5 linked regions of the Callithrix jacchus genome follow. The protein of the gene in region 5 interacts with the protein of the main gene of each other region in a pairwise test. Links are inferred from orthologs where the notes say so. Each region holds a gene or a part of one and is shown on either strand. Other genes may lie near its edges. The genes, in order: cytohesin-4, CYTH2, CYTH1, CYTH3 and IPCEF1.

Region 1 (6,236 bases), on a different chromosome or scaffold from region 5:
TTCCCATCCACTCTCCCATTGAATCCCACAACCACTCTGTCAGGAAGGTATTTCCAGGCTCATCCTACAGGTGAGGCCCCTGAGACTCAGAGAGGCAAAGTGTCCTGCTGAAGGTGACACAGCTGGAGGGTGGCAGGGCTGGGATTCACATCAGGGCCCATCTGGGGCCCAGAGGCCACAGCCCTGATGTAGAGCCTCCAGAGCCTGATCAGTCTGTACGAACCGTCAAACACCTGTCAGACGCTAAACCTGGGTTTCTGACAGGGTTACATGTTTGAGAATAAACACAAGATGCAGAATGATGCCTGCAATCGCCCCCACCCGGCCCTTGCAAAGCCAACATTGTAGAGCTGGGGAAACTGAGGCACGGTTCCCAGGGGAGTGGGATTGCATGGGGATAGTAAGCAGGTTGCTCGCGTCTTTACCCCACACCACTCCTTTCGTACTCCCTTGTGGGTGACAGTGTGTTTGTGAATCCTCAGTCCCCTGTCCCCTTCTGATGGGGCCCCGTCCCTAGCAGGTGGCAGTCAGTCAAAACATCTGAACCCACATGACGGCGCCGATGGCCCCAGGCCTGCTGTATCCTGACATGGTGCACACGGAGCCTCCTCACCCTTCCCCTATTTGTTAAAGAGTGGTGATTTCTCCCCATTTCAGAGTTTAGGGCGTTGAGGTTCAGGTAGGGCCACTAGGACACAGCCTGAGAGGGGCCGCTTCTGATTCTAAGCCTGATAAGAACGGAGTTTCAGGCACTGGTGTAGGCTCATGGGAGACGTATTTTTCTCTCTCTCTCTCTTTCTTTCTTTCTTTCCTTCTTTCTTTCTCTCTCTCCCTCTCTCTTTCTTTTCTTTCTTTCTTTTGACGGAGTTTTGCTCTGTGGCCAGGCTGGAGTGCAGTGTAACAATCTCGGCTCACTGCAACCTCCGCCTCCTGGGTTCTAGCGATTCTCCTGCCTCAGCCTCCTGAGTAGCTGGGATTACAGGCGCCCATCACCATGCCCAGCTAATTTTTTGTGTATTTTTAGTAGAGACGGGGTTTTACCATGTTGGCCAGGCTGGTCTCAAACTTCTGACCTCAGGTGATCCGCCAACCTCAGCCTCCCAAAGTGCTGGGATTATGGGCGTGAGCCACCGTGCCTGGCTGGGAGATGTATTTTTAATTATACTGCTGATACACAAAAACAATAAAATCACTATCACCACCACCACCACCGACCCCGTTTCCTCCTCATTTATCTCTGTGCTTCTCACAACCTTGCAAGGCACCGCTTGGACCCCCCCACCCCAAGTCCCCAGGCCGGCGAGGGTGCCCATCTCCCGGGCTCCTCCTCACTTCCCCTTTGTCCTTCCTCTTTCCCGTTGTATTTTTAGAAATTTTGAGCTTGCAGCCCTGCTTCCAGGACAGCTGGCCTCACTTCCCCTTTCCAGGCAGGAGGAGGGCACCGTCTCAGGGCCCTAAAGTCTCAGTGGGAGGGACCCTGGGGCAGAGGGGGTGTGGGCGGAGCTGTTCCCCGCCCCAGCCCACACGCCCTACAGGCTCTGCGGAGTGCGGCTTCCTGTCCCCCAGCCCAGCTGCCTGTTTTTAACCATGGCTGCCTGGCCTGTCTACTCTGCACCAGCGCAGTGCTCATCTTTGCTGCCGGCCCTCTTGCCTTCCTGGCAGGCCCTGGGGGCGCCGGGGGCGGGGGGCGCCTTACCTGTTTCCGGACACAGGCCCACCGCAGGAGAGCGGGGGAGGCAGCCCTGGTGGGAAACTGAGGCCCCACAGGAAGAAGAGATTGGTCATGACCACAGGCAGGATGGCGCAGAGCTGGAACCCCAGCGAGATCCGGCTAACGCCCTATCCCCGCTTCCCCAGGCCAGGCCAGGATGAGGGGATCCACACTGAGATGACAAATAATCGGAACTCAGAGAGGGGAAGTCACCGGGCCATGGAGAAGCCTCAATTAAGACCCACTCTACGCAACAGGGAAATGACCTCTCCTCCCTCCCCCTGGCCTCCTCCTCCAGGAGGTCTTCCCAGATCTCCTCTGCCCCAGTGAGAAAAGTGCTTTCTCTTATCTCTAGGTCTGTGTCCATTTGCACAGCTGGGTCAGGGTCCTGCAGAATCTGTCTCCTGCCTCTCTACCCCACCCCCAACATTCAGACCCACACCTGTCCCCCAGGGTTAGGCCCATGGCTGGGTCACTGCTGTCCCCAGCACTGCATGGCACACGGGAACATCGGTTATAGAGTGAATGAACGAAAAGACCAACCACTCAGTGGAGAACCAGTGTTTGCTGTACTGACCCCATTTAATCCATTTCCTCCCTAGTACCAGCTGAAGCAAGCAGAGACTCCCCTTCTGGCCCCCGAGGCCCCTCCTCTGCCCTCTCCACAGCGCCGGCCAACCTGGGCTTTCTTCCTCAGGTTCTCATCCCTGCTCTGCCACGGACTGGCCGTGTGACATCAAGCAAGTCAGTCCTTGCCTCCAGTTCACCTCTGGGGCCTCAGTTTCTGTATCTGCACCATGGAGAGAGCCACCCCTGTAACCTCAGTATGTTAGGACCACAAAGGACAAAGCACCCTGCTGGACACACAGGCGGGGCTTGCATCTCAGTGGGTGCCCTCTCTGCCTCGTCCCACCCTCACATCTGCTGAGAGGCCTGAGCCAAGAGCCGCCCCTCTCGGGGTCTCCCTGTGCCTGCCAGGTACCCCACCAGCTATGCTCACTGAGTTGTGATTGTGGGAGCCCCCAAAGCCCACAGGAGAGGCAGGGGTCAGAGAGTGAGTCAGTGGCCAGGGTTCGGTCCCGCCCCTGCTTTAGAGAGGCTGTTTTCCTCCCTTGGTCTCTTTTCTCCCTTCTTCCACTGGGGTCTGTTGAAATGGATCAGAGGTTCCCTAACTGTGTTCCCTGCAGCCCGGCCCCGAGGCTTCCATCTGGGGGTGGAGTGGGGGGAAGCCCAGTGGGTGGGGCCAGGATGCTCCACGTTAGGGGTGCTCCTGGACAAGGCTGAAGTCACCTGGACCCGGGGAGCAGACAGCTCCCACCAGCCCTTATGTTCTGAAATTCCAGCAGCCGTGTTCAGTAGAACGGTTGCGGTTCTGGAGCACGCTGACATCCAGGGTGCAGAAACTTGGCCCCTCTTCTGCACCTTCCATTTGCCTCCCAAAGCACGACCCTGCCTGTTCTTTCCCTCACCAATGTTGCAGCCTCTTTTTCCCTCTTTTCTCCCCAGACACGCTGTCCTAGTAGCCAGGGAGGATTTCAGTCAGGCCCTCTGTTGCTCACTCCTGGCCCTCCCCTGGCTCTAGGCAGTGTCCTCAGCCTCCCCAGAGACCACCCCAAGCCCAGAGGGCCAAGAAGGGGCCTTGTATCACCCAGACAAACGTTGCCATCACCAACATCACATCATCATCTTAATCTCAGAGCACTTTTCCCAGTCCACCTCTGAGCCTTTGCACCAGCTATTCCTTCTGGCTGGAATGTTTGTTCCTTAGAAACCTCCTTAGCTGACACCTGCTTCATGATCTGGGACCCCTCATTAGATAGCATCCCCTCTTGGGGACCTGTTCCCCCACGCCCTCCCATCTTCCTTGTCCTGCTTTACAGTCCTTCATCCTACCTGCCATCAACGGACATGTGACATGACCTTAGAATCACTGCCTGTCCCCCGCTCTAGGGCACAAGCCCATGAGAGTGGGCACAGCGTGCCTTTACTCACTGCTGTGTGCCCAGCCTCTGGAACACAACTGGACACCTCGGCTGAGCCCGCAAATGTTTGTTTCTTGCAGCTGCATTTCTGCCTGTACTGTACTCCCTTATCTAGGACCCTGTGAGGCAGGGGCTGCTGCCCCCTTTCTAAAAGACAGGATGCTGAGGCCCAGAGAGATCGACCCCAGGTGCTTACCGTGGTGGCACAGGTCCATTCCGATGCCCCTGGGGGGAAAGATGACCTGTGCTCCTGTCGTTTGTGGACCCAGCTGCTGCTCGGGCTGGCCTGGCAAGGATGCGTCACCTTGACTGTCACAGGCCCCTTCCTGCTTGCCCCGCCCGGCTCTGTGTGGGGAGGAAGTCAGTCCTGGCCCACTGGGGTCTCGTGTGCAGGCTTCTGACACAGCAGCACTTCCTAAAAACTGGCAGAGTTTCGTACAGCAGGGACCTCTGCCAGGGAGGGACAGAGGTGGAAAAAACAAACAAACAAAACATGAAGTGAGGGGAGGGTCAGATAAAAAAGAGAAAGTGAGACAGAGAAAAACACAGACACATAGGCACACACACGTGCACAGGCACGCGCACATGCACACACGAACACACGTACACCCGCACATGCACGCACGTGCACACCCATATGCACAAATGCACACTCGAACACACACATGCACACACCCACACATGCACACACGCACACGCGAACATGCATGCACACACGTGCATACCCACACAGGCACAAACACATGCACACACACACGCACACACGCACAGACACGGCGGACAATGTTCACTGAGGGTGAACCCTTCTCCAGGGGACTGGGGCATTTACCTGGCAGCCTCCTCACATAGATCCCATAGGAACAAGCAACTTGGGCAGACCTAGCGGGACCAATAGGTTCCACCCCACAAGCTCTCTTCCAACTCCCACTTGAGAAAAGACAAATGAATCCAATGGTAGGAAGGGGCTTTGCTTCCCTTCAAAGAAATACCTGTTTTTTTCTTGTCTAGTGAGCAATCGGGTAATATGTTCTGTTTTCCTTCTCCCCAGGCTGCTGGGAAGCTCATCATCAAATCCAAAGCTCATCAACAGCCATTCTGTGATGTCGTATGAACTTTGGGGCCTGACTCAGCTGTCTGACTCTCAGCTCTGCCCCTCAGGATCGATGTGGACTTGGGCTAGTCAGCCTTGCTTTGCTTATCTATCTATTTATCTATCTATCTATCTATCTATTTATCAATCATCTATTTTTTGGGATGGAGTCTCACTCTGTTGCCGAAGCTGGAGTGCAGTGGTGTGATCTCGGCTCACTGCAACCTCCACCTTCCAGGTTCAAGTGATTCGTCTGCCTCAGCCTCCTGAGTAGCTGGGATTACACATACATGCCACCACACCGTGCTAATTTTTTATATTTTTAGTAGAGACAGGATTCCAACGTGTTAGCCAGGATGGTGTCGATTTCCTGACCTCATGATCCGCTCGCTGTGGCTCCCAAAATGCTAGGATTACAGGAGTGAGCCACTGCACCCGGCCTGCTTATCTATGAACGGGGAGTAACACTAACTCCGGGATTTAGTTTTTTTTTTTTTTTTTTTTGAGACAGAGTTTCACTCTTGTTACCCAGGCTGGAGTGCAATGGCGCGATCTCGGCTCACGGCAACCTCTGCCTCCTGGGTTCAGGCAATTCTCCTGCCTCAGCCTCCTGAGTAGCTGGGATTACAGGCTGCACCACCATGCCCAGCTAATTTTTGTCTGTTTTTTTAGTAGAGACGGGGTTTCACCATGTTGACCAGGATGGTCTCGATCTCCTGACCTCGTGATCCACCCGCCTCGGCCTAACTCTGGGATTTAGAAATGATGGAGTGAGAGGATGTGTCAGAGATGCTTGGGACATACGAGGTGCTCAGTAAGCACGTTCTCCTTTTACTTCCATTTTCTTCTTTGGTTAGAATTCATCATTTGTTGCTTGTGCCTTTTTGGGCAGGTTGGTTCAAATCCTTTCTAGGAAAAGCTGTGCTATAAACAAACAGCTATGAAATAAATGTGAACTCCCTATAACTTCATGGCACACGAAGGTTTGTTTATCTGTTTCGCCATGACTCTGCAGGCCACATGAGGGCAAGGTTACCTTTTGTGCTCTGGTATCTGGTACAATGCTGGTGACATAGAGGGTGTGCAAGTGTGAAATGAATGAACTAATGAATGAATGAATGAATGAAGGGAACATGGTGGAGATCATGTGGTGGATGTGAACTCTAGCTACAAGTTCATCTCCTTTCACTATGCCGCCTCTCCTGTGGTCAAGGGGCAAAGTCTATTTCCCAAGTCCTTCCTTGGAAGCTGAGCTGGCCTTGGGCATCCCTTTGACCAATAGCATGTGGCAGAAATGATGTTCCGTGATGTTCAAGGCTGAGCTTTTTTTTTTTTTTTTTTGAGATGGAATCTTGCTCTGTAGCCCAGGCTGGGGTGCAGCGGCGTGATCTCGGCTCACTGCAACCTCCGCCTCCTGGGTTCAAGCAATTCTCCTGCCTCAGCCTCCCGAGTA
Region 2 (6,463 bases), on a different chromosome or scaffold from region 5:
AGGGTCTGCAGAGAGCAATGCTGACACACTGCTCACACTTTGTCTCAGTGGTGAACACAAGAGACAAAGAAAGTTGACTTTTTGCCACTATTTTGGCTCCTGGATATAGCTATGCCTGAAGGAGGCCATAAGCCCAGACTCTGATAGTAAAGGACACACTCAGTTCCCTAGTTTTTCTTTCTGTGTTTTTCTTTCTTTTTTTTTTTTTTAAAGATGGGGTTTCACCATGATGGCCAGGCTGGTCTTGATCTCCTAACCTCAGGTGATCCACCCACCTCAGCCTCCCAAAGTGTTAGGATTACAGGCGTGAGCCATCGTGCTTGGCCTGTTTTTGTGTTATTCTTGAGTAAAGTTTGTTGCTTGTAACTAGAAAAGCCCTGTAACTAGAAAAGCCCTGACAGGTACGTTCCTGCCCTTCCAGATCCCTCCCCCTCACTCACCTGAGGGCCTGCACCAGATTGAGGTCGGTGAACTCATGCAGATCCACAAAAGCATGGAGTACTGCCAGGTTCAGCTCTTCCCTGGAAGGACAGGACAGAATCACATCCAGTTTGGAGACGACGGGGCAGGAGTGGGCAGGAAGCAGGGCCCCAGGGAAGCTGTGCCCACTCTTCAGCACCACAGCTGCCCTCTGCAGAGGGTGAAGCTTCCCACTGGGCTCCCACACAGGCCTGGCCCTGGGGTGGGGGATGCTCAGAACACACTTTTGGGAGGAATACCTGCCTTGGGAACCCTGGTTAGGCCGGACCTTTGCACAGTTGGGAGAAACGCGGCAAGAACATATGCCACTGACCAGCACCTCTCTCAAATGATCCCCACACTCCCCAGATATCCAGACACAGTCCCCACAGCCGCCAGACACCCAGAGATGCTTCCCACACACCCCAGATCTCTATAAATCCCTGATTCCCAGAAGTCCACAGATGGCCTCCAATCATCTGATTCCCGTCCAGTCCCATGCATCCTAGGCTTACAAATGACGCCCACAACTCCTAGGCGTCCACGAGGGCCCAATAGTCCCCACAGCTCCCAGCTGACCACATGGTGCCCATGCACAGCCATGGTCCACCCATGGTTCTCACGCTCCCAAGATACTTGAGAGATGTTCTCCACTGTTCAGATATAAATGGATGCCTCTCCAGACCCCCGCCCCAGGGAATTCCAGAAGGTCCCTGCACCCCCAGATGCTTCAGTTGGCCGCAGGCTCTCCTAACCCCCATGTCAGTCCATTCTGTCAGTCTGAAGGATGATCTGCCAGAGCCTCTCTGATGTCCCACCTGTGAGCTGCCAGTGTAAGGGCAGGAGCTGGGCATGGGGGGGCGGGTGAGAAACCCCACGGGAGCTGAGTGGTGGCCATACCTCTCCCCCAGGTAGTCCCCGATGGCGGTCTTGTTCAGCCCCTCGCCCTTGTATAGGAAGCGGGCGATCTCCTCGGGTGTGTTCTGCAGAAGTTCGTTCTCCACCAAAAACTGGATGCCCTGGTGGTGGGGACAACAAGGTCTCAGTGCTGAGGGCCAGAAAGCCACTCCCCTCACCTCCCGGGGAATCTCAGCATCCATACCTACCCCCACCCTCAACAGACCAGGGCCAGCTTCATTTTCAGCCTTCTCACAGGTCCTTAAACAGCATTCTTCCTGACTTAGAGCCTTTGCAACTCATGGCCCACCCTTTCTGCCTTTGCCTGGTTAACTGCAGCATCAACAACAGGGTCTGGCTAGGAACAGGGGCTCACTACATTTTCTTTCTTTTTTTTTTTTTTTGACAGTCTCATCCTATCTCCAGGCTGGAGTGCAACGGTGTCATCGCAGCTCACTGCGATTCCGTTTTCCGGTTTCAAGCAATTCTCCTGCCTCAGCCTCCTGAGTAGCTGGGACTACAGGCACGCACCACCACACCTGGCTAATTTTTTTGTTTTTCAGTAGCGATGAGGTTTCACCATGCTAGTCAAGATGGTCTCGATCTCTTGACCTTGTGATCCACCTGCCTTGGCCTCCCAAAGTGCTGGGATTACAGGTGTGAGCCACCACGTCCGGCTTTTTTTTTTTTTTTTTTTTGAGACCTGGTCTTGCTCTGTTGCAGACTGAAGTGCAGTGGCGTGATCACAGCTTACTGCAGCTTTGAACTGCTGGGCTCAAGGGATCCTCTCACTTCAGCCTCCTGAGAAGCTGGAACTATGGGCATGAACCAACACACTTGGATAATTGATTTACTTATTTACATCTTTTCTAGAAATGAGTTATCACTATGCTGCCCAGGCTGGTCTCAAATTCCTGCTTCAAGCAATCCTCCCGCCTCGGCATCTCGAAGCACTGGGATTACAGGCGTAAGCCAACTAAACCAGCCAATAAACAGTTACTGAATGACTGAAAAGGGTTCCAGTTGCTTCAGGAAACAATAACGTGACAACCTGTTAGCAGTCTCTCCAGGGCTGTGAACTCAAGAGCCCAGGCTAGGCTGAGGCTTCTCTGAGTCTCTGTGCTATGAAGACCTCTCTGTTACTGCCGTATCTCACTCTGAATTGTGCTACTGGTGTTCAGGGAGTGCAGGGCAGCATCTGATTCTTCTTTTGGTCTCTAGCATCATCCTATACAGGATCAGACTCTCAAGAGGCCTCGGAAAATGGGTGTTAAATGAGTATGTGAACAGGCTGGGCATGGTAGCTCACGCCTCTAATCCCAGCACTTTGGGAGGCTGAGGCAGGCGGATCATGTAAGTTCAGGAGTTTGAAACCAGCCTGCCCAATATGATGAAACCCCTTCTCTACTAAAAATAGAAAACTTAGCTGGGCATGGTGGCGAGAGCCTGTAAGCCCAGCTACTCGAAAGGCTGAGGCAGGAGGATTGCTTGAACCCAGGAGGCAGAGGTTGCAGTGAGCCAAGATCGCATCACTGCACTCCAGCCTGGGTGAAAGAGCAAGATAATGTAAAAAAAAAAAGTGAACAAAACACTTTCCTGAACCTGGTGAACACCTATTCATCCTTCAAACCTGACCTGAATGTCTCCTCCTCAAAGAAGCCCTCCCTGACTCTACCAGCCTGCCCCCTCCCGATACCTCTGTCATGGCAGTCAACTCTCGTTTGTGCACGCCCCTTTGTCCACAGCCCCTACAAGACTCGGAGCTCATCCTGAGACTAGAAGAAGTGCACCCATACAAGTAGACAGTGAAAGAGAACCCTCCCGGCAGGGGACGCAACTAGAGTGTCAGGAGGGCTGGAACACTTTGTGTGTTCCAAACGGACAGCCAGTCTCTGAATCCAGGGATTAGGACCAAGTCTGTCCACCTAGAACAGACCCGGAGCCATGCTTCTGGAACCCGGAGGTGCCAGAAGTTCCTGCCTGGACGTCTGCCCAGCTGATCCCAGTCCTGTGGCCCCAAGCACCTTCTTGGGGTCCATGTTGAACTTCTTCCTGCCCATTGCCATCTTCCGGTTCCGCTGCAAGGTCTTACTGCAGGAGCAGAGAGCAGGGTAGGGGGCGGAAGGTCAACGCCTGGACATCCCTGGCCTCGGCCAACCCCACGCCCCCCAGGTCGTCCACCCCAGCCCTCACCTGCCCTCATTGGCCTCTAGCCCCTCCACCTCGCTCATGGCTTCGCTGAGCTCCTCCCGCAGGCGCTGAATCTCCACCAGCAGCTCCTGCTTCCGCCGCCGGATGTTCTCCAGCTCCATCCGCTCCTCCGGAGTCAGGTCTGGGGGTTCTGGGGGTCAGGGTCAAGGTTTCAAAGTCAGTGCTGGGGGCTGTGAGCCGGGATTCCCGCAGTCTGGGGGTGGAGAGAGCTCGGAAAGGACGCATAAGGGGCTTCCTATGTCTGGACCGAAGAATGGACTGGGGGCCTGGATTCCAAACTCTCGAGTCCTGGGGAAGGAGTGGACTTGGGGCCCGGATTCCTGAGTCTGAGGGAGAAGGGGAATGGGTGCTTGAGCTCTTAGGTCTGAGGGAAGAAAGGGCTGGGAGCCGGAATTTCTAGGTCCATTACTTGGAAGGGGACTGAGGCTTTGGTTTTCTGACTCCATTCCTGGAGAGGTGGTAGCTGAGGACCTGGCTGTCCGGACTCCTGGGTCCATGAAAAGTCACTACAGCCAAGGGAACTGATGACAGCTCGACAGAGTTGGGAAGGTGGGGCGGGACATCGACGGCCCCCGCCCCCCAAGATTTCTCCCCTCCCGGCAACCCGAGTGCCCCTCCCCGGCAGGCGCCGGGCTCGCCCGCCCCTCCAGCTGGAATGGTTCCGCCTCGGCCGCGCCTCCACCGCTCCATCCCGCCCCTCCCGCCGCCACCGGAAACAGGCTCAGCCCAAACAATGGCCTGGAACACCCCGCTCTCGGTTCCAGCCGGAAGCCCGTCCAGCGCCCCACAAAAGCGGCGCGACGAGGCTACGGCGGGACCCAACGCCTCTGGGCGGCACGCACCAGGAAGAAACGTTCGCGGCGGAACGTTCAGGAGAAAACGCTCTAGCAGCTCCCATCCGACCCCGCCCCTCCACGACCTACCATAGACGCCGTCCTCCATGGCGGCTAGGAAGGCCCGCGGGGAGTCCGGGGCGGTCCCGCCAGTCGGGCCTGGATCCGCGTTGGCCCGCGGGCTCTGGTGAGCCCGCTCAAACGCCCCGGGAGCCACCGCCGCCTCCTCAGCGCCAGTCCTCAGCGCTGAAAAGACCCTCCCTTCGTCTTCCAACCGCCCCTTCAGTAGGGACCGCCCCTCTTTTTGACACCGTCCAATCCACAGTGGGCGCTTTCGTCCTCCCCGCCCTCGACACCAAAGGATCGTCCTCCAGGGCCAAGAGTCGCACAAAAAGCTGATATAGGTATGTCTGGCCGGAGGTAGACGGCCCGCGGGACCAATCGGAGTGCAGGCAGGGCAGCAGGCCCCGCCTCTGAAACAACAGATGGCCCTTGACAGGCTTGCTCTCCAATGAGAAGCCTCGGAAAAGTGTTGCGTGGAGGCGGAGCTATGTGGAGCAGACATGACGGCGCCTGCTCAAAGGCCTTGGACACTGGGAGACTAGGTCAACCGAACCCCGCCTCCAGCGGTGCGTTGCTAGGGGGAGGTACTTTGTTAGTCTTGTTGCCAGGGGGCGGGGCTACAACTGTGGCTTGTTTTTGAAAGCCACACCTCCTAGCAGCCCATGCTGGCTTCTGACCGCAGAGGTTGCCATGCAACGGGGAGCAGCTTTGAGCCTCTTTTGCATTTCTTCTCCGGGTACTTTCCTCTCCTCTCAGTCCCTTCTAATCTTCAAACTCCTTACCATCATCTATGCCCTCCCCATTCCCCTTAGCCTCTTCAGAGTCATGGAGTGGTGAAACGAAAGATTTATTCTTTTTTTTTTTTGAAGTGGAGCCCTGCTCTGTCACCCAGGCAGTGGCGCGATCTCGGCTCACTGCGACCTCTGCCTCCCGGGTTCAAGAGATTCTCCTGCCTCAGCCTCCCGAGTAGCTGGGACTACAGGCACACGCCACCACTCCTGGCTAATTTTCGGTTTTTTTTTTTTAATAGAGTCGGGGTTTCACCGTGTGGGTCAGGCTGATCTTGAACTCCTGACCTTGTGATCCGCCCGCCTTGACCTCCCAAAGTGCTGGGATTACAGGTGTGAGCCACTGCGTCCGCCCAAGATTTACTTTTTCTAAATGCTATGCTATTTGGTGTCATGGAGAATGGAACATGGGAAGGTCAAATTTTGTGAAAGCATAAGCTCGGCCTTCCTTCCCTTAGCTTGTATCACCCTCCTAATACTCCTCCCTTCCACAAGTATCCTCCCCCTAAGACAACTCCCCTTTCCTCAGCATCCTCCCTCCTCTCTGATTCCTTCTCCCATCTCAGAAGGCCTTTTCTTTCTCTCTGGCTTCCCTCACTTCACCGTCCCTCTCATCCTCTCATACCCTTGCCCCTCCCCTTTTTTGGGGAGTATGGAGTTTCACTCCTGTTGCCCAGGCTGGAGTGAAGTGGCACAATCTCGGCTTACTGCAACCTCAACCCGCCAGGTTCAAGCGATTCTCCTGCCTCAGCCTCCCAAGTGTTGGGGGGAGACCTGGTAAGTGCCAAGGCAGGAGTCCGAAGCCTCAGCCTATTCCCATAGAAGTAATGAAGAAGAAAATAACTAGAGGTATAACCATAGTAGTTACTCATAGGTGATCTTAGTTCTTTTACTAATGACTCTCAGGTCGCAAAGTGTGAACCTGGGGTGACGTTGTGAAAGGAATGACCCTAAGGCAAGATGCTTTAAACGTCTGTCATACCCATGTAAAGGCTGCTGGAGGGCGCCTTGGCTATGCAGCAGCACCAGCGCTGGGAAAGTGCCCGCTGTTTAGGAAGCTGCAGAAAGAGATGTCAGAGATGTCTCCTTCCCCCGGGGAGTTAGGAGAAAACTCCACTCCTCCAAACTCTTGCGGTAGGGCTGGCAGCTGTCAGGGAGGCCCGCAGACATCCGGGGGCGTAACTGTCTCTATGTGACGCTGTGCCTCAGCGG
Region 3 (6,358 bases), on a different chromosome or scaffold from region 5:
AAGAGGATATACCTCGAACTTATAAAAAGATAATCAGCGTCACCAGTAATCAGGTCAGTGCAAATGACCAACAGCAATGAGAAACCGTTTCCCGCTGTCTCATGGCAGAAGTTAAGTTTGGTCCCATGAGGGAGTGGCAAGCATTTCAGCAGCATCTGTGAAAGCTTTAAGTACTCTGGTCTCATGACCAGCTTTTCTGCCTTTGGGTGTCTATTCCAGAGAAACGCTATACCATTTGACTGTAGGTAGAAAATAGAAGTGACCTGTCCTCTTGTAAGTTCGGATCACTGGCTGTGAATCAGACCCGATACCAGAAGATAAGAAATGCTGTTTGGGAATCATTAAACATAGGTTTTAAAATGGTTCAGGGTGGGACTTAGAGCTGTGATTTTGACATACTAAACCAAAAGATGACATGTTGGGTTATGTTAGTTTCCTCTACAAAACAAAGTGTTTTTTATTTTTTTTTAAATACATGCATATGTATTTATTTAGCTATTATTAGGCAAGAAAAAAGAGAATGTGATGAAGTCTCTGGCCTTGAGTCATGTCAGCACCTGTGGTCACTTTCGGAGTATGACTGGAGACAGTGCCCTCTTGTCTTGCTGTAGATGTGTGTGTTTCCAACTCCCCAATAAGACTTAGCCAAAGTCTAGCACTTCCTGCAAAGCTGCTGCAGGAGTTTACTTTTTTTTTTTTTTTGAGACGGAGTTTCGCTCTTGTTACCCAGACTGGAATGCAATGGCATGATCTTGGCTCACCGCAACCTCCGGCTTCTGGTTTCAAGCAATTCTCCTGCCTCAGCTGGGACTACAGGCACGTGCCACCATGCCCAACTAATTTTTGTGTTTTTAGTAGAGACGGCGTTTCACCTTGGTGATCAGGATGGTCTCGATCTCTTGACCTTGTGATCCACCTGCCTCGGCCTCCCAAAGTGCTGGGATTATAGGTGTGAGCCACCGCGCCCGGCCAGGAGTTTACATTTACAACCAAGACTAGTAAGAGAAGGGTTGGGAGTCTAGCAGAGAGCATGGTACAGAGGGTGGGCTCTGCTGCCAGGTCTCATGCTTTGGCAAGCTGTGTAACCTCTCTGGGTGCTGGCGTTCTCATCCGTGACCTGGGGATGGAGAGGACACCCACCCTATGGGATGTTTTCAGGATTGGATGAGTTAGGTCATATCAAGCTAGGCAAGAAGTAGGCATGCAGTAAGTGTGACCTACTATGGTGGTGTGGTGGGAAGCTATATCTGGATCCAGGAGTTCTACTTCCAAGAATTAAAGAGAAGTGTCAAAACGTGTGCACCTGTGTATTGAGATGCATAGAAAAATTGGAAATCACTTAAAAGTCTTACAATATGGAACTTGTTAAACGTTATGTCTAGACTGTGAATAATAATAAATGTGATAGATGTCCATTTACAGTCATGAAAAAATGTTATAAGTAAAAATAGATGGTTTTAAAACAGCATGTAAAATATGTACACACACACACACACACACACACACACGCAAATATACATCAGAGAGAGAGAACATATATAATATAACAGAAGTCTAGAAAATATATGCCAAAATGTCATCAGTGGTTATCTCTTGGTGATGGGATGCAGGTGTTTCTTTTTCTTGTTACTATTTTCTAATTTTCAACAGTGCATATGTGTCATGAACATAATAGGACTGTGCAGAAAAGAATATTTTTGTACAACATGTTAGGAATCATAATGGGATAAAACCAAACTTATACTGAGAGTTTGGCTTTTGGATTTTTTTTTTTTTTTGCCTCTAATATCTGCTTTCTACTTTTAGCCTGTGACCTCATAACTTGCTGTAATGATTACGATCTCTTAGTCATTCTCTTGGGAAATGTGCTATTATCTCATTGTGAGGGGACCAGGGATTTTAAGGATTCCATTTTAAGAAAATGTAGTCGGCCTTCCATGGGCTCCCCATCCATGGATTTAACCTATTGTGGATGGAAGGTATTTGGAAAATAAACAAAGGTCACACCTGTACTGAACACATACAGACTTTTTTAATGTTCTTTAAACCATCTAGCCTAACAGCTGTTTACAAAGCATTTATATTGTATTAGGTTTTGAAGTAATCGAGAGATGATTTAAAGTATATGAGTGGATGTGTGTACTACTTATATGCAAATACTACACCGTTTTATACAAACTCAAAGATTCAAGCATCTGTGGGTTTTGGTGTGCATGGGGGTTCCTAGCACCAGTCCCCCTTGGATACCAACGAACAACTGCACTGGAAAGTGAAGAGAAAAACAGCAGCGAGCCCTGTCTATGACGTTGGTTGAGCCTGAGAAAAGACTAGAAGTGTGGCTACTAAATTAGCTTGAGTCCACTGTGAGATTGCTTCCAGGGAAGCAGACGGTTAACACACTCAGAAGGTGCGTGAGCTTGACTTCAGGAACTGGGTGGTGGCAGTGACTGGGAGTGCCGCTTCTTTGGAGGCTGGAGGCTGATTGGCCCAGGCATGCGGCCAGCCATTGCCTGTCTGTTCAGGAAGCAGCTCTGAGCTGTCCTAGTGGCTGGACAGCTTCACAGGTATCCCCGGCCCCTCCCAGTCAGACCCCACAGGAAAACTTGGCTCCCAGTAAAGTCACTGCTGTCCTTGAAGGACAGAACGGACTTGTTGTGTTCTGCTGTAAGGAAACAAGATGGTCCTTAAAACTGAAGAGGAGGATGGTGAGTCACTGCCGCAGCCCCTGGCAGGGACTGATGTGACTTGGGGTATATGGAGTGGAATTTTAGGTATCTCTTAATCCTGTGAACATAGTTTACTGAACCTTTTGGGGAGGAGTTAAGGACCAACCTAGACTCTGGTTTTTGTTTTTATCTTACTGTTTTCAGGAGAAACACTGTATAGTGTCTTAGTGGTTAGGAAGCTGAGGCTTTTTCAGGGGTATGTGTGTGTGAGAGAGAGAGAGAGAGAAAGGGAGAGAGAGCTAGTAAGGTAACTCTGTCTTTTTGAACCAAAGAGTTCTCCTCCAATCTTTGCTTTCGTTAGAGTTCCGCCTTGGGTGTTTCTTGGTAGATTCCACTTCATACTTGGTGATTGTATCTACTTCCTGTATCGAAATAACAGTTGGCCAGAACTTCTGGGAATTCCACATATATCCGGAGAGAATCTGATGCTAAAAAGTAAAGACATTAGAGATCAGATTGGAAGAACCAGTGAGATTCGGGATAAAAAATATTGTCTTATGAAATAAAATGTATCTAAGGGAAAAGACAAATTTGGTCTTCTCCTTTTCGTTGTAGGTGAAGACTGTTTGAAGCCTGTGAGGACAGGGTCTGTAGAACTTCCTTTATCTGCTCCACACCCGTCCTGTAAACAGTGGAGCTATGAGTAATGGGATGACAAGCTGTGGCTTCTAAACCCCAAGAGATTCTGCTGAAGAGCTGTGTCTTAAAGCCCTGGGCTAGCACAGGAGTTCTGTTTGTGGATATATGTGTGTTTTGTTGTATTTTATTGTGGCACCTTTATCAGATGGTGATGCTGTAATGCTGTAAGACAAAATAGTAAAATGTGTACTGGCTTGTAGCTGGTAATGCATGATATAAATAAGTTTGCAGTTAATATTAGGGTACATTTGAAAGTGGATTTTGTGAAAGTTGTAATAAAATTTGGGGGTCCTCTTTAGGCCTTTCCTGCTCTGGTTCACTATAAAGCACATATTTGAAAGCCATACCTGTTAAGTGCAGATGATCCTGGACAGCGACCATAGGCAACACCAAAAGCTGCCTCATGTGTGGGAGACGCTGGGAGGGAATGACACACAGGTGTCCATAACAGCGCTTCTGTAGCTGAAGAGGAGACAATAGCGAGTGGCAGTGCCAGGCCAGTGCTGAACTCCTGCTTGATGTTTTTGTAACTGAAAGGTGCATCCATACTAGCCAAGACTGAGTTTCGAAGGGAACACTCTGAGAGTGGCAGAGGACACTAATGACTGCTAGGACGGCAGGAGTGAGCCGGGCCTGGCTGTGGTCCTGGACATGGTCCCTCATGCTTACTTGCTGCTGGTTCTTCTGGGTGAGCCCAGCTTCAGACCACCCAGAGGTGCTGTTTCATAGTCATCTCAGAGTTTAAGCACAGGATCTATACATCTGTCCTGGGCATGCACTCAGTCTCTGGCCATCCTGGAGGCTTTAAAAGTCAACATAAACTACCTGATTCCACAGTGGACATGATGGAGGCGGGGCGTGAGGTTAGGGGTGGGGAGTTTGGACATGGATTACTGAGCAGCTTTGCTTTGAACTAGTAACCTTAAAGAACTGATGCTTCTGCATTTCTGTCACCCCCTTTCATGGTGTTTCCTTGTTGTCACCTGGGACTGAGGGCAGTGTTGCCCCTTCAACCATGCTAAAATAGATGCCCCTAGGTTATTGCCGTGAGAGACAGAGTGGCATTTAGCTAGGTGTAAAGGGAGGGGAACCAGTAGAGTTTCCTCTGGCAGGTCCCTGAAATCCCAGGGGAGGGCAGAAGTGAAGTCAGAGTTATGCTTTTCATAGAGCTGCTTTTAACTAGACTTACTGCCCTAAAGAATATGCCTAAGAAAGGGTACATGGGGGTTTTTGAAAATATTTTTTAAGGAAGTCAGACTCTTCTGCCACACTAATCTCAAACCCACGGTTTTTAGATTAAATATATTGCTGGCTGGGGCTGGGCGTGGTGGCTCAAGTCTATAATCCCAGCACTTTGGGAGGCCGAGGTGGGTGGATCACCTGAGGTCAGGAGTTTGAGACCAGCCTGGGCAACATGGTAAAACCCTATGTCTATTAAAAATACAAAAATTAGCCTGGCCTGGTGGTGGGCGCCTGTCATCCCAGCTACCTCGGAGGCTGAGGCAGGATAATTGTTTGAACCCGGGAGGCGGAGGTTGCAGTGAGCTGAAATCGCACCACTGCACTCCAGCCTGGGTGACAGAGCAAGACTTTGTCTCCCCCACCCAAAAAAAAAAGCTTTCTGCCTTTCATACCTGGTACATATGTTCATCAGTTTTCATTCTGTATGTGTGTGTTAGTGAGAATTAACCAGTATAATTAATTTTGCACTGTTTTCTTAACTGCCAGAAATTATTCTTTTTTTAAAGGTATTTAATCTTGTTAATGGTTAGTCTCCCTTGATTTGCCTTTTTTTTTTTTGAGACAGAATCTCACTCTGTCGCCCAGGCGAGAGCACAGTGGTAGAATTTTGGCTCACTGCAACTCTGCCTCCTGGCTTCAAGCGATTCGCCTGCCTCAGCCTTATGAGTAGCTGGGACTGCAGGTGCATGCCACCATGCCCGGCTTATTTTTGTATTTTTTGTGGAGATAGGGTTCGCCATGTTGGCCAGGCTTGTCCTGAACTCCTAACCTCAGGTGATCCACCCACCTCAGCCTCCCAAAGGGCTGGGATTATAGGCGTGAGCCATCACGCCTGGCCGTAATTTGTCTTTGAACCCTCTCTGTGGCGTCTCTTTGGGATGGAATGCAAAATCTTTGATGTGGACTCTGATGCCCTTCACAGGCAGACACTAAGCCCGCTCCCAGGTACTAGTTGAGGCCTGCTGTGTCCTGGGCCCTGCCCTGTGGTGTGCCCATTGTTGCTGGCCTCTGTCACTTCCAGAAACTTTATCTTGCTTGGTATGCACTGTTCTTTCTGCTTTTCCATCTGGGGAATCCATTGGTCTTCAAGTTCTGGCACCCAGTCTGCCCTCTCTGAAGCCTCTTGGCATTGCCTGGAATTCTGTGAGTACTGGCTGCACTTGGCTGCTGTGGCCAGACGTGCTGCTGCTACTGGCTTCCACGCTTCTCTCCACTGGCCTTTGCATTCTGTACAGGGCAGGGACTGGAGCTATTTAAATCCCAGCCCCAAGCACAGGCTGCGTCTATGGCAGATGCTCAGTAAATGCTGAGCTGAAGTGAATGTGTGTATTTCAGTAGGAGGAAAGAAAGAGCTGAGGATGCAGCCAATGACCTGAGTGTGAATTGGGCTCTATTACTAGCGTACCTGAGGTAGATGATTTATACTCACTGAGTCTTCATCTTACCCGCAAACTGATGAGAACAGTGCATAGTTCATTGTCAGGAAATATGCAGTTGAGCTTTGTTGGAAAATATTTTTTTTTAGAGGGGAGAAGACTGTTGGGAAGTTTTAAAAAGTGGAAATGAGAAAATGTTTTAAGCTCTAAGATACCATGTGCATATAAACCAGTATTATTTGTAGGAAAATATGCCAAACAGAATAAAGTATAGGCTTCTCCAATGGGATATCGGATTTTCAGATTGCATCTAAAATGCTGTCCTTGACATGAACTTTCCACGTTACCCCACATTTTAATGCATGCCTTGTGATT
Region 4 (6,407 bases), on a different chromosome or scaffold from region 5:
TCTCTCTCCTTATCTTGCATTTAAAGAACAAACAATACAGTGGACAAAAAGCTAAATTAACTTACAAAAACAGCAAGTAGGAATCAATTTTTCAAGTCTTATAGTCTGACCATTAACAAAAAAGACATTTTAAATTATCTTTGGCCTCTACCATAACTACTGTTTGAATAGATTATTTACTTTATCTTTTAAACAAGCTGAAACTGACTCCCACAGATACAATTCAATGTTAAGTATTACACTCTAAAAATATACCAAAAAGTGTTATGCTTTATAATCTGCTGGCAACTGAAATGGTTTTCCATCAGAGAGCTGAACTTTATTTTTTTAAACATGAATTTTAAACCATTTTTTTAAAGCTAAATGGTATTAACTGTAAAGAGGTATGTTAACTTCAAAATTTCCAACTGCCAAGAGTTAAATATAAGCACATCAAGTTTATACAATAATTACAATATGACTCATATTTCAAAACTTTGCTTTTCACCTGTTTCAAAAATAAATACTTATCATGTGGCTCACGAGGTCAAGAGATCAAGACCATCCTGGTCAACATAGTGAAACCCTGTCTCTAACTAAAATATAAAAAATTATCTGGGCATGGTGCCGCCCGTCTGTAGTTCCAGCTGCTTGGGAGGCTGAGGCAGGAGAATTGCTTGAACCGGGAGGCGGAGGTTGCAGTGAGCGGAGATCACGCCACTGCACTCCAGCCTGGAGACAAAACAAGACTGTCTCAAAATAAAATAAAATAAATACTTATCCTAAGACTGCTAAATATATACGGTGTGTGTGTGTGTGTGTGTGTGTGTGTGTGTGTGTATTTTTTCTTTTTTTTCTTTTTGAGACGGAGTTTCGCTCAAAACTCAACCGTTGGCACGATTTTGGCTTGCCACAACCTCTGCTTCCCCAGTTTAAGCAATTCTTCTGCCTCAGCCTCCTGAATAGCTGGAATTGCAGGCATACGCCACCACGCCCAGCTAATTTTGTATTTTTAGTAAAGACGGGGTTCACCATGTAGGTCACACTGGTCTCAAACTCCCAACCTCAGGTGATCTGCCCTCTTCGACCTCACAAAGTACTGGGATTACAGGAGTGAGCCACCGCACCCAGTCTACCAAAAATATTTTTAAGTGTCTGTCACAAAGCAAGGGAGAAAGCTATTTATAAACTAAATCGATAAAAGTTAAAAGTTATTTTCCAGCACCTAACATGCTGGCTGGCATTTTACTGGGCAATCAATAAATAAATCTTCATTGTTGAATGTTCTGGTGAGGTGAATTAAATAATACACTTAAAACATTGATGTCTTTTATAAGTTTTTTCAAATTTGAAATACATGCTTATTCCAGAAACTTGGAAAACTTGAAAAAAATAAAATAATCCATAATGTCACCAGTTTTTACATTGTTTAACCCATGATGTATAAAACCGCTTATTTTAATGGTTGTAAAATACTTGAATAAACTTTCCATAATTTACTTCACCATGCCCCTACGGTTGGTATTGCTGTTTTCAATGTTTTGCTATTACAAACAGCATAATACACCATCTTTATACATGAGGTTTTTTTTTATTTTAAGGTTGCTTCCCTGTGATAATAATAACAGCCCAAGGACAGTTTTAAGACTTTTGATACTTAATATCATCCTTTGTTATACTATTCAAGATCTGCAAATTGCTGGAGCACACTAAAGCTTCCTTTTTTTCCTCTTTATCCCTGCTTTTATCTTCAAGTCTACATTTCTTTTCTCAGAGCCCAAAGTACAAAACAAACTGCCAAGCCAGCGAGCTGCCCTGACTCTAATGCCAAACGTCTGCATATTACAGTTGTTTGTCCTTCTTTTCTAACAAGAGAAAACTGCTCTGCCCAAATTATGACAGGCAGGAAACACGACCTCCACCGGGAATCCATTCCTTAGGATCTCGTGGCTCCAGACGGACAACCTGACTGTAGGAGGGTTTGCAACTGGGCTCCTTCGTTCCGCAACGCTCCCTTTTCATAAACACACCCACTCGATGCCACAGTGCTACCCCTAGCTTCAACTATGAGAACTGAACTCGCCAAATGCCATGACGGGTGCCAACTTCCCACCATCCTGGCTGCATCGCGTCTTTCAGCAAAAAGAATCTCCCTCTAAGCAGCACTTGAATTCTAGAAGGCACCTTGATGATGAACCACTTCATCCTGAAGCATTCAATACTGCTGATTCTTACAGGCAGCTGCTGCGGCAGCCTGTAATTAAGATTTCTCTAAACTGCTCCCTTATTACATGAGGTTCTGATGATTCTGATTTCTGTCAGCTCAAAGGAGATCTTTAGCTCAAAAAAAGCCAAAAATGAAAAAAGTCTAGAGAACCTCAACTTCGTCTGTTCCTGTAAAAACATAGGCATTAACCCTTTGCTTTCCAAAGCGAACAGCCACTCCATACAGACAGGCACGTTCTTCTGTTTTTAAAATCTAATTCGCAGCATGACCCAACAGTCATTTGTATTCCACGAAATAATTTCCAACAAACACGATTCCTCCAGTAAGAGGAAACCGAATGTCAGGCACAGACCACCTGGGGCACGTCGGGCACCGACCCGACCCACTTGGGAGCACATCTGGCTCTCCGGTCTCGCCTCGGTGCTGGGTGCAGCTCCTGACCCCCACCCTCCGCTCCATCGAGTTTTTTTGCTCACTCTGTCGCGTCTGCCGTTTCCTAAAACGCCTACCCCCACCTGGACTCCAGCTAGACCCCTCCCCGTTCGAGCAAATCCGGCGACCGTTTCTGACCCAAGCCAAGCAGCCTGTCACGCTTTCCAACCGCTCCCCCTGCCCTCCCCTCCTGTACCCCAGAGGAGCCCCCCATGCCAAACTTTCCCCTCCCGGTTCCCCACCGGCTCAGCCGCTTCCGCCCACCTGAGCTCAAAGGGGGCGTCCGAAACGCCTGGCTCCGGAGGGCGTGGACGCCCTTGGCGACAAGATGCGGGGAAGGTCGCCCCACAAGGTCCCCCGCCCCATAGGAGCGACCCCCGAACCTCCGCCCGAGACTCTGGGGCGACCCCGGCCCGCGGTGGCCCCGGCCTGGTACCGGGACCCTCGCCAGCGCTGGACGGCGACCCCGGCCAGCCGCTTCCCTCGGGCCCCCGAAGTCCCCGTCTCGGCCCCGGCCCGGCGCGCCTCAGGCCTCCAGCAGGCGCCGCCGCCGCCCCAGTCCCAGTCTCCTCAGGCGGACGCCGGGCCGGCGCCGCGCCCGCGACCCCCAGCCCCCGGCCCCAGGCCGCCGGCCAGCCCGCCACACCTCCGACACTCACCGCCCTCGCCGCCGCCGTCTTCATCCATCTTGAGGCCACTCCCGCAGCCGGCAAGCCCCGGGCGGACGGCAGAGGGGCCGCGGGCGGGGGACGCAGCCAGAGGTAGCGTGCGGGCGACCGGGCGGCTCCTCAGCGCGCAGCCCGGGTCGCAGCGGGGCCTCCTCCCGCGGGGCGGGGCCTCGCTGGTCGGCGTGCCGTCACGTGACCGACCCAGGGCGCCCCCCCCCCGGGGGTGGGCGGGGCGTGAGGCCGCACGGCCCCGCCCTCGGGAACCGGCCCGGCCCGGCGGCTTCTGCTGCTGTAGACCCGGCCCCTAGGGCGCCGGCGGACCTGAAGCGCGCGGAGCGAAGCTTCCTAGCCCTCAGCCTTTCAGTAGCCTGCGGACGGGCGTGGGGCCTCGGACACTGGAAACCACATTTTGCAAAACCCAGTGGTCAGGAGTGTAACTTGCACTTGCACTCGGGGTAAAAGATCAAAAAACGAACGCATTCAGAAGTCAGACCTGGCCAGGCTCGGTGGCTCACACCTGTATTCCAGTACTTTGAGAGGTTGAAATGGAAGGATTGCTGGAGACCAGAAGTTCGAGACCAGCTCCTGTAACATAGGGAGACCCTGTCTCTACAAAAAACATATTTAATTACCCGTGCATGGTGGCGCGTGACTGTAGTTCCAGCTACTGGGGAGGCTGAGGTGGGAGGTCAGGTCACTTGAGCCCAGCAGGTCGAGGCTGCAGTGAGTTATTGCACCACTGCACTCCAGCCTGGGTGATAGAGTGAGACTGTCTCAAAAAAAAAAAAAAAAAAAAAAAAAAAAAAAAAAAGGAAGAAAAAGGTCAGGCCTTCTCCTTCCTAAGATAGGCATGTCAGAATAATTCCAGCCTTTCAGCTGTCTCATATATAATAGAGGCTCTCCTTCCCTGACGGTGAGTGCATTTTTAAATTAACAAAATGCAGAGCTTCTAAATGAATGCTGTCGTGAGGCTGGATCGGCATCCCAATCCAACACACCTGGGGCTCAGCCCTCAAAGGGCATTGTAGGGGTTGGCCAATCTGGCGGCAGATGCCCTTGGAGTTTAGCGCCAGTATCCCTTGGAGAGCTGCCAGCTGCCCTGAATTTATGATGCAGAAGGAGCTCTGAATTCAATTTCCCTTGGGCAAAGCAAGGGTCCTCAGCGCAAGCCTCCTGGGCACAAGGCCTCGGCTGGCCCCTGCTCCACATCGATGGATCTCTTCTCTCATTCCCCATATCTTGCTTCCAGTAACTCCTGAAGCATTGCTTGTGGCCTCTCCCAAGCCTTTCTGCTGGAACTAAATTGCATTACAGAAAAGCAAACATTGTAATGGAGGAGATAGTTCATCTCTAATATAATTTTCCAGCAACTGTTTTATATTTATAAGCTGTCCATTGAACCAAAGGATCCTTCCGTTGTCATCTATCAAAGTGGAATAGCTGTCACCTTTTGGTTCAAGGTTGCGAGATGATTTCAGAGTTAAATCTCCTAATAACCTCAAGAATTAAAAACCAAGCATTCTGGTGCAACCAAAGCCACGAGGGACACTTTCTTTTTTTTTTAAAGACAGGGTCTCACTCTGTTGCCCAGTCTGTAGTGCAGTGGCCCAAATGATCCTCACACTTCAGCCTCCCAAATAGCTGGTACAGGCTACCAGGTGTCCACTAATTTTTGTATTCTTTTATAGAGAAACAACCTTGCCATGTTGCCCAGGCTGGTCTCAAACTTCTGGACTCAAGCGATCCTCCTACCTTTGCCTCCCAAAATGCTGGGATTACTGTCGTGAGCCACTGCACCCAGCTGAGGGACACTTCTGCATGCAAAGATATTTACAGCTTGAGTGACAAAGAGGCACCAGAAAAGGGGTCTAGGGGTCAGGAGATGTAGGGTTCAACTCCCAACCCCCAGACTTGGCTTCCTGATCTTGTTCCCGTCAGCTTTGTTATCTTGGAGATAAGAGCATAGTTACTGAGAAAAAAGGACACCACTACTTTGAACTTGATAATTAGATAGTGGAGCTTTGAACTCAAAGATACTATCAATTATAAATGCTTTTTCATGTCAATTCTTTAGATGTCTTCGAATGTGATCCACAGGTGCTTCTCTCAGAGTTTTTTTTCTTTTCTTTGAGACAGAGTCTCTCTCTGTGCAGTGGCATGATCTCGGCTCACTTGAACACCTCCTGGGTTCAAGCGATTCTCCTGCCTCAGCCTCCCAAGTAACTAGGACTACAGGTGCACGCCACCATGCCCAGCTAATTTTTTGCATTTTTAGTAGAGACTGGGTTTCACCATGTTAGCCAGGATGGTCTCGATCTCCTGACCTGGTGATCTGCCTGCCTTGGGCTCCCAAAATGCTGGGATTACAGGTATTAGCCACCGTGCCCAGCCTTTCTCAGAGTTTTAATCTGAAAGTGGCCTCTCTGATCTCCATCTAATCTAATTTTCATCAGACTAAAGCACAGCCCAGCTACATAAGCAGAATATTATATTATACCCATGGGTTAGCCTGGGCCTGCGTTTCAACAAATTCTGCAAAAACACTGTGAGGATAAAATCTTTGGGTGTCATTTCTGCGCTTTAATGGAGAAACTGGAAGACTTCAAAATCTTCACAAGTCAAAAGAAGTAATATCTAAGGGGAAAATTAGATATTTTCAAAAAGAAGTGCTTTTCAGGATCTCTCAAATCCCACCAAGATAGCAATGATCTAATCTGCTTCATACATACTATCTCTACATATAGGAACATTAAGTATTTTAGTTACCCACTAAGACAGGCACTCACTTTATGCATAGTTTATGAGTGGTTTGCTCAGATGCTGAAAGCTTTATAAGTGAAGTTGTAAGGATAATAATCCATGCAGCTGGCATCGCTCCAGAAACACAAGTATTAAACCCAATTATTAAATTGTTGCAATCATTTGGTCAGATGACAAATATTTATGCACCTCCTGTATTCCAGGCACTGTCTTAGGTGCTGGGAAAACAATGATGAAAAAGATAAATTCAGTCCCCAGCTTTATGGAACTGATGGCCTAGAAGGAATACAGCCATTTAGCAAATACTTATTTAATTGTAATTTTTTTTTTTTTTTTTTTTA
Region 5 (5,663 bases):
TTTTTATTATTTTCTTTAGTTCTACCAATCCTATATCTGGAAGTTTTTTCCACATATCAAGGTAGAAGTCACCTAGTTCAAGATACTTAAGTTCTCTCTTCAATATATGCTTTCAAGAACAAAAGTTCTGATGAATATGCAATCAATAGTCAATGAAAATGGCTGTCTCAGAATGAGTGAACACATCCAGTGACAAGGAATGCATCACTTCCAAGGAACCTATTCTATGTTGAACAGCTCATAACATCAAAAACAAAGTTCTTATGCTGAGGTTAAATCTACCTCCTTTTGACTTGCACCATTGAACTCAATTTTGTGCTTCCAAGGACATGCATTTAAGCTCAATACTTTGTCCACACAGCAGCACCTCACAAACCTGAGGGTGGGTTGAGACTACTCTTTCCGTTCTCACAGTCCAGTCTTTAGCCCTCTACACTCCTCGGTGGCACTATTTCCTTTCTCCTCCCTATGCTACTCCTGCACCTCTACAAATAGGTTGGTTTGCCAATGACTTTATTCACTCCAGTTCTTCTAATGTAAAATAAATAGTTGGCCTAAATAGTGGGGAAGGGTATAAGAAAAATGCCATCAAGGCCGGGTGCAGTGGCTCACACCTATAATCCCAGCACTTTGGGAGGCAGAGGTGGACAGATCATGAAGTGAAGAGATTGAGACCATCCTGGCCAACATGGTAAAACCCCATCTCTACTAAAAATACAAAAAGTAGCTGGGCATAGTGGTGCTTGCCTGTAGTTCCAGCTACTTGGGAGCCTGAGACAGGAGAATCACTTGAACCCAGGAGGTGGAGGTTGTAATGGGCTGAGATTATGCCACTGCACTCTAGCCTGCTGATAGAGCAAGACTCTGTCTCAATAAAAAAAAAAAGAAAGAAAAGAAAAAGAAAAACTCCATCAGAGGCCAGACAGATCTGTATAAAATATCTTTAGGTAAGGCCTCAGAGAGTGGCGATAGCTATTATAACCTGGAGAATTAGTTACCAGGCTGACTATTCAAATTTACATAGTTTTAAAACACTATACAGATACACGCACACACAAAACAACTTGGTCTAAAGTTGTGATCCTTGGCCAAATTACTCTGATACCAAAAATTAAATTAACAGGGTACCCATCTGAAATTTGAGAACTTAAAGAAGTCTTCCGTGATTAGGCTAGAGGAGAGGGGAGAGCGGTCATCTACATCATTAGACACTCTGGCAGGTTATTATGGGAATCTAGCAAGTCAACTTTCTCTCAATGGCACACCAAAAAATAAACAAACCAAACTCATCATTCTTTCACTGCTCAGTATCTTCCATCAGGTAACCCTGTTTTACAGCAAAATGAATAATAGCACACAATCAGAAAAGACATTATGATAGAACAGAAATAAAAATACATTAGTCCTGAATAAAAGGTAAGGACCAGTTATCAGAGTATTTTTTAAACCTCATATTATTGCCTTCCATGCTCAATTAACTCTTTCCTTTGTTAAAACTTAAAATGTTTTTCAAACACATAAGTTGTGCTCTCCTTTATATGTAAAGGTTCTAATGCTGCACAAAGTGCGGGCAAATTGTCTTCCCATTAACCACACAGGAACATTCAGGAGCTGGCGGGCTAAGAATTAGACAGTGTCTGGGGCACAACCCAGGGAAGGCAGCTGCTTACAGCTCATTTTGAACTATCAATGTAATGTGAAAAATACCAGACTACAAAGTCCTGATTTAACCACCACAAGCTCCAGAGCATGTGACATGGGACCAAAGAAAGAGGCAAGGTTTTTCTCTGATTAGTGAAAAAGTATCATTATTTTATGATCACATGTCTTACAGTTCTGAAGCAGTTGGTTAGTGACACTTACAGCAAGTAATTAGTGGCCTAGTAGCTGGAGTTGCCACATGCAACCCCTCTACAAAGCAACCTCTGGGCATAACCCCACTTGACTAATTCTTGAATCACCATTCATGAATTTAACCATTCTTGTTACAAATTAATATTAGAGTTCCATACACACACACAAATATTCATTCTCTAAAGAAGAATGAACAATTTCTTGGTTTACCTTTGTCCATGACCTTTGATCCAGCAGGCTTATCTGGGACAGTAAGATGGTCGTGATTGCTACTCAATGAAGAAGTATCATCACTAGATAAAGAGTTCAAAAATCCACTTTCTGATGTGACAAAGCTGTTTTCCGGGACCTTGTGGCTGCCTGTCTCTGCAGGTACAGGTGAATGAACCTGCACAGCAAACGTTATTGGTTGTCCCTCGTCTTCAGCAGCAGACAAACTGTTAACTGTGTCAGGCCAGGACTGTCTCTCTTTAGATAAGGAGGAAGGAAAACTGCTGGGTGTCTTCACTGTATTTTCCAGGGAAGAGAAAGAACATGATGTTCCACTCAGGCTGGGTGAGGATGAAGATGCCTGCTGCGCAGCCTATTTTTCACAAATAAAACCAAAAAAAGAATAAAAGACATCGTGATTAAACCACCATTCTCTACCTTTCATTTTCAAAAAAGGTGTCCCCGTGTTATTTCAAAAAGTGACCAATAATAAAAGAGTCAAAAATAAAGGCATGATATTTATGTCTGTTTGACACACATTAGGATTTCATTCTCCAAAACTGATTTATGTAACTTTCAATTCACTGTTCTAGGATCTGAAAAATCTCCTTATCACGAGTTGTCCTATTCTTCAATGCTCTCCAGAAACTTAAAGGGCCTCTTTTGGGAATCCTTCAGAATACTGCATTATACTTTGAGCAAAATAAAATTTGCAATCTTTTGCTGAATTCACACTGATGGAGCAAATAGATAATTATGAAAAAAGAGAAGCTGGGTGTGGTGGTTCATGACTGTAAGCCAAGCACTTTGGAGGCCATGGTGGGTGGATCTCCTGAGGCCAGGAGTTCGAGACCAGCCTGGCCAACATGGTGAAACCCCATCTCTACTAAAAATACAAAAATTAGCCAGGCATGGTGGCACGCATCTGTAGTCCCACCTATTCGGGAGGCTGAGGCAGGAGAATCACTTGAACCCAGGGGGCAGAGATTGTGGCGAGCCAAGATCATGCCACTGCACTCCAGTATGGTCAACAGAGTGAGACTCTGCCTCCAAAATGGAAAAAGAGAGCAAAAGCTGGAGCCATTCCAGAAACAAAATAATGTTACCTGAGTGGAGATGAGTGATGGGTGCAAAGCATATGAACCTAAACCCTTGAATATCGCTCACCTATTCCTTATTGCATGACAAGCCTTGGCAACATTTTCATTAGTACAGAGAGAAAACATCAAAGCAACATCCCAGTGATACGGTTAGCTCTGTATCCCCACCCAAATCTCATCTCAAATTGTAATCCCCACATGTTGAGGGAGGGACCTGATGGGAGGTGCTTGGATCATGGGGGTGGTTTCCCCCATGCTGTTCCAGTGAGTGAGTTCTCATGAGATCTGATAGTTTAAAAGTGTTTGGCGGTTCCCGCCTCGCTCACTGTCTCTCCTGCCACCACGTAAGATGTGCCTTGTTTCCCCCTTTGCCTTCCACCATGATTGTAAGTTTTCTGAGGCCTCCCCAGCCATGTGGAACTGTGAGTCAATTAAACCTCTTTCCTTTATAAACTACCCAGTCTCAGGTAGTTTCACACTCTTATAGCAATGTGAAAATGGACTAATATAACCAACAAGGACACTTTTGGGAAGAACTTCATTTATTCTGAGATTTTTATCTTTCCTACATTTTGATGTTGAAATATATGCCTTCTTTTGAAAAAATGGTGACAGCAGCTGGGCGGGGAGGAGCTCAGGCCTGTAATCCCAGCACTTTGGGAGGCCAAGGTGGGTGGACCACGAGGTCAGGAGTTCAAGATCAGCCTGGCCGAGATGGTGAAACCCTGTCTCGACAAAAAATACAAAAATTAGCTAGGCACAGTGGCAGATGCCTGTAATCCCAGCTACTCGGGAGGTTGAGGCAAGAGAATTGCTTGAACCCGGGAGGTGGAGGTTGCAGTGAGCCAAGATCACACCACTGCACTGCCTATGTGACAGAGCAAGACTCCAACTCAAAAAAAAATGGTGACAGCACATATAAGCCTTTGTCTCTTTGGAGTTTTTTAAATGTCCTAAGTAGCAAAATAAAGATTCAGAAATTCTATCTTGTTCTTCCATTTTTTAATTTTTAAATAAAATTTTTAATTTTATTGGCCAATAAAATTTAAAAATCTAGACTCCAGTACTCTATGGATCACCCTATATTTCCAACAGCAGATAAGATAGAGAAGGCATTTTACGGTTCAGTTGCATTACATCATCCTATGGGGCATGCCTGCCAATGTCAAGCATTCAGAACTCCAAGGAAGGCCAGGTGCGGTAGCTCACAACTGTTATCTCAGCACCTTGGGAGGCAGAGGCAGGTGGATCTCTGAGGACAGGAGTTTAAGACCAGCCTGGCCAACATGGTGAAACTAAAAATACAAAATTAGCAGGGCATGGTGGCTTATGCCTGTAATCCCAGCTACTCGGGAGGCTGAGGTAGGATAATCACTTGAACCCAGGAAGCAGACGTTGCAGTGAGCCAAGATCACGTGATTGTACTCCAGCCTGAACAACTGAGTGAGACTCCATCTCAAAAAAACAGAAACCAAGAAAATCTCCAAGGAAGTGTCAGGAAGGTTGATAGAGAGAGGAAGCCAAAGAGCAAACTAGAATCCTCTTCAAAAACCTCAGAACCATAGCAACTAATTCAGAAGAGTTGACTCTGTTTCAAATCAATATGGTCCACAGGAAATTTGTAGATTCTGAGCTCTGAGTTTTCATGGGAGAAGCCAATATTTACCTAATGTGTACCCAATCAGCTCCATGCTCGACATGGATTGTCAGATAATCAATAAATCTACTTTTAAGTAGCATGACATTAAAATCTCTAGTTAAGATACTAATCCCACATATTTTATAAATGATCATATACTGTCACGGACATTAAAAAAATTCCATTCAGGAATAAGTGAAGTAGCTTGTAAACTGGCTATCTTACGTCACTTAGATATTTAATAACCAACAGATCAAAGATCTGTCATTTCAGTAAAAACCTAGTTATCTAGCAGAGGGAATGCACTATCCCAAACTGTCCAAATAAATACTAGGAGTAGTTTACTAATTAGCAAGATCTACAAAATAAATATTAACAAAAATATCTATTCTGGCCCAATCCTGACACGCTCCCCCATTGTGAGCTATTTTAGTAAAACTCAATTTCTACATGATCAATCTCTTTTTTGAAACACCAAACATGAGCTTTTCCTATTACTCCTGCTGATTCTGCTTTAAATTAGGTTATAGCCAACTGGGCTATTTGAACAAGAGACCATGCACACAGTTGCTACATCACTGTCTGTAAGGTTTTTTGAACCTCAAAACTCTGCTTAAAGTATTAAGACCTATTAAATGAGCATCAGAAATATCTGTGCAGTGTCATCCTGTTTGTGGTGTGACTCAAACACAGTGCAAATGCTCTCTCAACCCATTTTCTCTAGACACCACGTACCACTTATAAATTTCATTTTTAAATGAAGAAAAGAAGAATGAAGGGTAAAAAAGAAAGAGGGAGAGAGAAGAAAGAAGAAGACTTGGAGAAGAGAAAAATGAAAATGAGAAAATGACTACATGTAT

Evidence for each region.
Region 1: the proteins of IPCEF1 (region 5) and cytohesin-4 interact in binary tests that used the Homo sapiens proteins (3 or more experiments, as listed by UniProt). The link is inferred for Callithrix jacchus from reciprocal best matches to the Homo sapiens genes IPCEF1 and CYTH4.
Region 2: the proteins of IPCEF1 (region 5) and CYTH2 interact in binary tests that used the Homo sapiens proteins (3 or more experiments, as listed by UniProt). The link is inferred for Callithrix jacchus from reciprocal best matches to the Homo sapiens genes IPCEF1 and CYTH2.
Region 3: the proteins of IPCEF1 (region 5) and CYTH1 interact in binary tests that used the Homo sapiens proteins (3 or more experiments, as listed by UniProt). The link is inferred for Callithrix jacchus from reciprocal best matches to the Homo sapiens genes IPCEF1 and CYTH1.
Region 4: the proteins of IPCEF1 (region 5) and CYTH3 interact in binary tests that used the Homo sapiens proteins (3 or more experiments, as listed by UniProt). The link is inferred for Callithrix jacchus from reciprocal best matches to the Homo sapiens genes IPCEF1 and CYTH3.

Annotation. Positions count from the first base shown.
Region 1 is NC_133502.1:208,189,588-208,195,823, reverse strand, and holds the start of cytohesin-4, read right to left. Parts: upstream 4,008-6,236; 5' UTR 3,909-4,007; coding exon 3,890-3,908; intron 1,909-3,889; exon of another isoform or gene 1,697-1,908; intron 1-1,696. UniProt on the Homo sapiens protein: Promotes guanine-nucleotide exchange on ARF1 and ARF5. Promotes the activation of ARF factors through replacement of GDP with GTP.
Region 2 is NC_133523.1:42,349,351-42,355,813, reverse strand, and holds the start of CYTH2 (cytohesin-2), read right to left. Parts: upstream 4,092-6,463; 5' UTR 4,065-4,091; coding exon 3,977-4,064; intron 3,698-3,976; coding exon 3,550-3,697; intron 3,448-3,549; coding exon 3,381-3,447; intron 1,479-3,380; coding exon 1,360-1,478; intron 522-1,359; coding exon 441-521; intron 1-440. Other genes in the region: uncharacterized protein LOC128930433, read left to right, coding at 4,092-4,799. UniProt on the Homo sapiens protein: Acts as a guanine-nucleotide exchange factor (GEF). Promotes guanine-nucleotide exchange on ARF1, ARF3 and ARF6. Activates ARF factors through replacement of GDP with GTP.
Region 3 is NC_133506.1:134,495,307-134,501,664, reverse strand, and holds the start of CYTH1 (cytohesin-1), read left to right. Parts: upstream 1-2,593; 5' UTR 2,594-2,677; coding exon 2,678-2,705; intron 2,706-6,358. UniProt on the Homo sapiens protein: Promotes guanine-nucleotide exchange on ARF1, ARF5 and ARF6. Promotes the activation of ARF factors through replacement of GDP with GTP.
Region 4 is NC_133503.1:15,993,102-15,999,508, forward strand, and holds the start of CYTH3 (cytohesin-3), read right to left. Parts: upstream 3,457-6,407; 5' UTR 3,326-3,456; coding exon 3,298-3,325; intron 1-3,297. UniProt on the Homo sapiens protein: Promotes guanine-nucleotide exchange on ARF1 and ARF6. Promotes the activation of ARF factors through replacement of GDP with GTP. Plays a role in the epithelial polarization.
Region 5 is NC_133505.1:160,969,330-160,974,992, forward strand, and holds part of IPCEF1 (interactor protein for cytohesin exchange factors 1), read right to left. Parts: intron 2,438-5,663; coding exon 2,065-2,437; intron 1-2,064. UniProt on the Homo sapiens protein: Enhances the promotion of guanine-nucleotide exchange by PSCD2 on ARF6 in a concentration-dependent manner.